2 linked regions of the Tribolium castaneum genome follow. The protein of the gene in region 1 purifies or fractionates together with the protein of each later gene. This does not show direct contact. Links are inferred from orthologs where the notes say so. Each region holds a gene or a part of one and is shown in the gene's direction. Other genes may lie near its edges. The genes, in order: tws and mts.

Region 1 (3,824 bases):
AAATTTTCGTAATTCCACATTTAATGAATTGCTTAACAATTTTGCATGTAGTATTAATTACTTACATTAGAAAGAATCACTTTAAAAGTACGTGATGGTAAGAACTAGCTTTGACTTTGGTTCTGCGGTTTTTCGTGATATAAAGTGTTTGTTGTTGGAACTTGGAAGTGGATAAAAAGTGAAAAAGCCTCAATTTTGATTTCAAAATGTTATCAAACAGTTATCTAATTAAAGACTATAAGTAATGGATCACAGCGAACACAAAGTTGGGCTCAAGAAACCAATAAATTAGTGAAGTTTGTGAATTTTAGGTTAGAATTTTTCCACTGAAAGAATCATGAAATACTTCGGTAAATCTACAAAACTACAATTAAGATTAACAACTGCTGATACATTTAAACGTAAATTATGCCAAAAGGTAGGCTTTTCAATGTCTTTATAATAATTTTTCAATAAAGAAAGTGAACTAAACAGTCATTCGTTATTCCTGATTTCCTGGTCATCTCTCATTTGTCAACATAAGTTTCTTGAATCAAAGATACAATTGTTCATTCCGCAGAGGCAATGCAATAATTGTGAAGCCTCAAAATTCGTACAACGCTCAAATATCCGAATAAACATTTTCTCGCCATTTATGGTTACTGTTTTCGACCTAGCTCAGTGGCGCCTCTAATGGTAATTTTACTTCCGAATTGTATTTTCTGGGTACTGTCATCTTTGTCAAAATTTAAAATTAGGTTTTTGTTCACTTTTGTGCATTTTTCGGCAAAGTTGTTTCAAGTGTTGAGCTTGTCTTGATTTGTGTTTGATATTACTATATTTTTTGTTATTTTCTTTCGTTTTTAGATTCGAAGCCTTTTTGCATTACTTTGACTGATCTGTCACTTTGCTGGCATCCACAATTTAAATTGAACGGCGGGTAACGTTCAAATTCATAGGTGACTTGATGAAAAACCATTTCTGAACAGCGTGTATTAAATTTAATGTTTACGCCCGGTATTTAGTTGGGTAGTATGCATAAAAAGTAGCAAAAGCTTTTACTGTAGTTTTATCCTCTTTTCTCGTGAAATGTAAATTACGTCTATCTTTTACTATTACAAGTAAAAGCATTTATTCATACGGTTCATTGCCACTTTTCTGTGACCCGTTTTCATCAAGAAATCAAAAAGAAATTCTTACTTTTCAACAACGCATGCGCATTTAAAATCTTTATGCGCGGTGTTGCCAAAAAGCTGGGAATTTAACCCAATTTCTACTAAAACCCGGTATTTCAGTAGACGATTAAACCAAAAATATTTTAGTTACCAATTTATTTCCTTGCTTGACGTATTTTAATGCTTGGCTATGATTTAACAAAGTTTAAAATTTTTGCTGAAGAAAATGTGTCGGTGTTATAAACTTTTTTCAGTTTTGGAGTATTGTTTAAATGTCCCCTTTTGTCGTAACGAAAATTATTATTTTAGACACGCTGTATCTAGATAGTTGAAATATGTACCTGTTTCTCATTGTTTAAGAAAACATCTATGACTCAGTGAATGAACTCTTGTTGCAAAGGATGATCTGCTCATGGCTGAATTCAAAATGACAATTTTTTATAATATTGTACCATGAGATCGAAAATATTCTGAGTTAGAGCAATTTGAGCGTTGTACAGTCACCTTTGATTGATTCGCCATTGACAGAATTGTTCAAAAGTTCTAATATTGTTCTTATGATTTAGGTGTAATCATATTTAGAGGTTTTCTTGCCTCTTCCTAAAGCCATTTTCTTCTTCTCAATTGCTTTCAAACGTTTATCTTCTGATAAAATTCTGTTTTATTTAATTTGTTGTCATGTGTAGCTACGGTTTACTTTTAATAGGCAAGTAGTCAGATATAGCAGAAAACGATTTTTGTTAAAATATTCTTTGGTGTTCTATAGAATGGATACAAAAATAGCATGTTCAACCCGTAAGAAAAGTGGCTAAAACTATTTCATGAAAACTTTTCAGTGGCCTGTAAACCACAACTTTTCTTTACTTGTTAAGCAATCTACTATATTTCACAACAAAGTCAAATTGTCGCCATTCTTTTTAACACTTTCAGTCAACAAAGCGGATGTTTTGAGCCTTTATAAATAATGACTTGACGTTAGTGACAGTGTCCCCTTTAATAATTTGTCAGATCATAATTTTTTGCATGTAAAAAGCACATTAATTTCTTTATTTTTTTAAAATGTTGCCTTACTTATATCTTCCGATAGTGTATGTGGACTTAATTCTTATTAATTAAGTACGCCTGGACTAAAATACAAAAATCATTATCGATCGTTGTTTTAACATTTTGCGTAAACGTGGTGTGTTTTTGTTTCAGGCAATGGAGACGTGCAGTGGTGCTTTGCTCAGGTGAAGGGAACGCTCGACGATGACGTGACCGAAGCTGATATAATCTCTTGCGTGGAGTTCAACCACGACGGTGAACTCTTAGCGACAGGGGACAAAGGAGGCCGCGTAGTGATCTTCCAACGCGATCCGACGTCAAAAACATCATTTCCACGACGTGGCGAATACAACGTGTACTCGACGTTTCAATCACACGAACCCGAATTCGACTACCTCAAGAGTTTAGAGATTGAAGAGAAGATCAACAAGATCCGATGGCTGAAACGTCGCAATCCTGCCCATTTCCTTTTGTCGACCAACGACAAGACTATCAAGCTATGGAAGGTGTCGGAGCGGGACAAGAAAGTGGAGGGCTACAATACTCGCTCGGAGAACGGCTCGCTGATCGATCCAATGAATGTCAGCTCGTTGAGGGTGCCCACCATCAAGCCCATGGAGCTGATGGTGGAGGCGTCGCCGCGGAGGATCTTCGCCAACGCGCACACCTACCACATCAACTCGATTTCGGTCAATTCGGACCAGGAGACCTACCTATCGGCCGACGATCTACGGATCAACCTGTGGCATCTAGAAATTACCGATCAAAGCTTCAATATTGTAGATATCAAGCCGACGAACATGGAGGAATTAACCGAAGTTATAACGGCGGCGGAGTTTCACCCGGTCGAGTGCAACCTGTTCGTTTACAGTAGTAGTAAGGGTACAATTAGGTTATGTGACATGAGGGCGGCGGCCCTCTGCGACAGACATGCTAAACTGTTCGAGGAACCCGAAGATCCGACGAATAGGAGTTTCTTTTCCGAAATTATATCGAGTATTTCCGATGTTAAGTTGTCGAATAACGGCAGATATATGATATCTAGAGACTATTTATCAGTTAAAGTTTGGGATCTACACATGGAAACCAAGCCAATAGAAACGTATCCAGTAAGTATTTATGTCTTTGTTAAGTTTATTGAGACAGGTTCGATTTTATCGTTATTGTGCTCTATTTGCTTTAACGGCCAACTCTAAAGTTAATGCTTGTTTTACCCGTTAAACGGGGTTAATTTCGTCCCAATGTAACAGTAAACATGGCACGTGAGAGTGAAAACTGTAATTCACATATTTTAATGACGTTTAATTCAAGACTATTATTCAAACAAATATTAAACCATTAAAACTAAGTGTACTTAGAATTATATCCTACGGTAGAATCAAGTCAGTGATACAACTTGATGAAGTCGGAGTAAAACACACATCATCTCCAAGAATATAGAACGAAATTAATAGGTCGTGAGGCATAAATCTTTCGAATTTTACGTTTTTTTTACTTAGACAGTAAATCAGTAGCAAATTAGAAGTTTGCCTCACAGCCATTTACTACCTTTGCATAAATACAGAGCAATACGTGCACATGCAAAAAAAGATTCTTCTGGTTACATAAAATTGTCGAAATTTTATG
Region 2 (4,581 bases), on another chromosome or scaffold:
GCAAACTTCCTTTTTCTTCAAATTTACAATTTCATTCACAAAACAAAAACAATAAACAACTAGGCACTGTTTTCAACAATATTTCCGCTGATATTTCTATTTATCTTGATGACATTGCACACGTAACTCATATTTTAAAGCTATTTAATAAAAAATTTCATGCGAGACACAAATTTAAAGTTTATACAGATAAAGAAATAGCTTCTAATAAATATTTAATTAATTTAATGTCCATATCATCCATACCGTCAGAAAATGTAGATTATAAAAAAATAGTCGCCACCCTTTTTTTTCAGTAAATTTAACAACTTTTAACAAGAAAAGAAAAAACATATCTACTACTAATAATGCAGCACTCGCCGTGCTCGTGTTGTAAAGAACTCACGTCGGAAATTTCTCCGAACACTTACCCAATCAGAGTGGCCATCGTCCTGGATGGTATACTTGCACTCGGCCAAAGTGTTCCACAATTTGATGGTCTTGTCGCGGGATCCTGACACGATTTGGCGGTTATCAACCGAGAAAGCCACACTTAAGACATCCTAAACAGATACATTTTTAAGTTTTGCGAATGATTGCTAACACACCCATTGGTAGGACTAGCCTAATATGTCTCACGATACTTACACAAGGGGGCCCAACAGTCAACTTCAGTCGCCGTTAATACAAAAAAAACAAAAAATCTTCCGACTGTTGCAACGTGAGATATCAAAACTGTAAAACGGTAAAAATGTATGTTTCAAACCTTGGTATGGTCCTCAAATCGACGCGTTGTTTTCCCAGCAGCCAAGTCCCACAAACGCAAGGTCTTGTCCCATGAGCCAGAAAGGGCGTAATTACCGTCGCTCGACAGGACAACGTCAGAAATAAAATGGGAATGGCCGTACAAACGCTTCTGGGGCACCCCGTAGCATGTCTCGTCACGTGTCAGTTTCCATACGATCAAAGTCTTGTCTAAAACCAACAAAATCGGAAATTATCCACGGGAAACATGCTCCCGAAGGCCAATTTGGCGAAATTGGGGCAAATTTCAAGCGGATGGTTGCGTAATTCACCAATAAATGGGGATTAGAAAGGAGATTATGGGTTAGAATTTGGGTTCTTACCTCGAGACGCGGACAAAATCAAGTCGGGGTATTTGGGGTTGGTCGCAATTTGCGTAATCCAGCCGTTGTGCCCCAAAAGGGTGCCTTTCAATTGAAGGGTTTCGGACATTTTTCAGAGGACCTTCCTCACACAAGACCGGCTCAAAAAGAAAAGGGAACGGAAGAGAGAGGTGGCTCTGCAGTTGCCAACCGAACAAAAACACCCATTACGCAACGAAAAGTCACTATTAGTCACTAGATTAGCTAACCACACCGGTTGGAGGGCCTGGATTTTTTTACGTTTTGCATAATTTGAAAACCAAACGGTTTTTACAACTTTGTTGTAGCCCCTCATTACAATTTGTGCAAAAAGTGGTACTTGAACATTTACAGTTTCCTGTATAGTTGGTTGTACTTCAAGATTTTTTACCTTTGGTCATTTCTAGTACCAAATTTTTGACGATTTTTTTGTGGAAACTGCGTTATGTCACACCTTTTATTTAATTTATCATGTTTTTTGTTATTTGAACCGGCCAATCAAGCGGCGTGGGCAGGGCCTGGGAAACAAACGACCTTGCTTGAGTAATGTCAACAAAGCGTCAAACTGTCTCTTACAAGCAATGAAAAGCCCCCAAACGCAAAAACCGATTAAATTTCGAACTCCGACGTCCGCTGTGTCAATATTATGCGACAAACCGCCCCAGGTAAAATTCTGTCCGTGATTAATGGAGTTCGATTTGAGTTTCCCGGTCGGTGGTGTGAGTGTACAAAGCCGCCGCTAGAGGTCTTATTAAATCCACCACATAATCGCCATTTTGGTGTGTTCATCCGAGAATAGATAAAAACTAAAATAACGAGTAATTTATGTAGAGAAACAAACCGAATTTCGAGCAGTTTAGTGTAATTATTTATGATCTAACTTATTTTCGTGTGTATGACCAGATACCGCTAGCAATGGATGATAAAGCGTCGTGTAAAGAACTGGATCAGTGGATAGAACAGTTAAATGACTGTAAGCAACTATCAGAAAATCAAGTAAAGACACTATGTGATAAGGTAAATATCGCCCCTTTGCCTAGTTTTAGTCCCTTGAATCGATTCGTGTTCGCTCCAATTAACGCAATTAAAGTGTTTATTTTAATTAGCACCGCCAGTTTACTCCTTATTTACAGTCCTGGTTACGTTATCTCTAATAAAATAAGCACTTTAGATCCTTGGAGCCCGATCTTTTATCAGATCCTCTCAAACAAACCACTGATTCATACCGATGATTACGAATGAATCAGTGGCGGCTCGTGGTTAAACCAGGTGAAGAGCTAACGAAATTCAAAATTTACAACCAAATTTCATGTTTTCCAATTCAAAGTCATAAACACAAGCATTCTATCATTCCTAATATGGCCAGAAATTTCCAAAGATGACTGAGAAACTTCACTAAAAAAGGTGACCTGACTTGACTTGACCTGACCGAGCTAAAATTAGGTTATGTTTTTTCTGTCGTCATCAATGAGTCATCGTGTGATGTCATTTTTTCCCTGTTCCAGGCGAAAGAGATCCTGTCGAAGGAGTCGAACGTACAAGAAGTGCGATGTCCTGTAACCGTGTGCGGGGACGTCCACGGCCAATTCCACGACTTGATGGAGTTGTTCAGGATAGGAGGAAGGAGTCCCGACACGAATTACCTCTTCATGGGTGACTATGTAGACCGTGGTTATTATTCGGTGGAGACGGTGACACTCCTAGTAGCTCTCAAAGTTCGATATAAAGAAAGAATAACGATTCTAAGAGGTAACCACGAGTCGAGACAAATCACCCAAGTTTACGGTTTTTACGACGAGTGTTTGAGAAAATACGGAAACGCAAACGTTTGGAAATTCTTTACGGATTTATTTGATTATTTGCCTTTGACGGCGCTCGTCGATAGTCAAATTTTCTGTCTGCATGGAGGACTCAGTCCCAGCATTGATACCTTGGATCACATTAGGGCGTTAGATCGTTTGCAAGAGGTGAGTAAGGGGGGCAGCATTTTTAGAGCATGGCTACATTCGAAAATGATACACTTCTTCAATAAATTACATCATCTTATTGTTTTGGAAATTATGCAATTAATTGAATTGGCAGTTTGTCGTTTAAGTCATAATTACCTTTCTCATGCATTCAAAAAACTACAATTTGTTGAGTTATCTCATGTAAAACTAGCGTTAATATCCGCAAAAAGCTGACAAGTTTAACCGATAATTTAATACGATTTTGTTTTATTGTGTAACAGGAATAAAAAAGTAATGATCGATTGCCTCTTACGTGTAATGACGTGATTGATTTAATAAAATTCATCAAAAACGATCCGAAAAATCTAGCCAAAATGTTGGTTTAATTTTTTGGGTCCCAAAATTTTGTTCATTTTTTTTAACTAAAAATTCGTGGAACAAACTAGAATTTTTTCTTGTACGAAAGTTTAATTATTTTGAGGCAAAATTCTTCAAAAAACGTGAATTATTGCTTCAAAAATTTTATTACTTTTCCTATTTAATTTTTAATTCATTTGGCGCTCTTCTCCATTGATCCGGCTTTGTCTTGTGCAATAAAAGACCTCGTTTTTAGTAAAGGTTGATAAGAAAATTAATTATTAAACTTGAAAAAAGTTCGTATTGTCTATTATTGATTAAGTTAATCAATGTTAATTTTCTTAAATGTAAATAAATACGTCACTGATAAAGAAAAGGTATTTCTAAAAGAAGAATTTATTTTTGTCTCAACAAAACAATGATTATCGTGGATTGATCGAGCAAAATAAATACTTGATTTTGTTTAAAAACAAGATGCCAAATCTGTTCGTTTTAATCTGAAACTTTTTCGGTAAATCTGCTCAAATAAACGAAAATCCGACACCACCTCGTAATAAATCTTCCACTTTAACGCTGTCGTTTTTAATTTGATTTAATTTGTCAGAATCGATACAAGACGTTCGCTTCATGGCTTCGTTTTTATGGATTTTTGCGTAAATTTCGTACGACTCTCATAAAAAAAATTGCCAGTTATTGATTCTGGCTTGTCTTGTTATGAATATTTTACGATGTCGCTAGTTGAAAAAAAACCTGTGAGGGCATTAAACCCTTTCTCTGGTGACAAATTACCACGTAAATCTTTTAAAGAGAAACTTTAGACTTGGGGAAAAAAGTGACACAAGTTTAATTTTAGTAAAACGTTGCTTTTCCATTTAATGTGATAGTCGAAAAAAAAATTGAAACCAGTCGAACGTGAAGTAATTGCTTTCAAGGTCCCACGTCAATCTATTTAGCTTCCAAACAATTTATCGGATGGAAATCTCGAGCGTTTGTCACCCCAAACACCCTTAATTATAATGAATTCATCACATTGCGACCTTGACCCGATTCTGGTTTATCTTGGAGTTGCTCTGGATAATTCACATTCTTGCGGAAAATTTATTACGGGAACAATAATTTCGCCAAGGAAAGTTTGCCGGTCGGTATTTTTA

The links.
Region 2: the proteins of tws (region 1) and mts purify together in Caenorhabditis elegans (affinity purification with western blotting; 3 studies listed by BioGRID, with this or other methods). This does not show direct contact. The link is inferred for Tribolium castaneum from reciprocal best matches to the Caenorhabditis elegans genes sur-6 and let-92.

The regions. Positions count from the first base shown.
Region 1 is NC_087395.1:13,629,960-13,633,783, forward strand, and holds part of tws (serine/threonine-protein phosphatase 2A 55 kDa regulatory subunit B alpha isoform), read left to right. Parts: intron 1-2,351; coding exon 2,352-3,307; intron 3,308-3,824. UniProt on the Caenorhabditis elegans protein: Probable regulatory subunit of serine/threonine phosphatase let-92.
Region 2 is NC_087399.1:654,848-659,428, forward strand, and holds the start of mts (serine/threonine-protein phosphatase 2A catalytic subunit beta isoform), read left to right. Parts: upstream 1-1,640; 5' UTR 1,641-1,705; coding exon 1,706-1,789; intron 1,790-2,027; coding exon 2,028-2,141; intron 2,142-2,629; coding exon 2,630-3,091; intron 3,092-4,581. Other genes in the region: small ribosomal subunit protein RACK1, read right to left, coding at 411-542, 746-954, 1,107-1,215.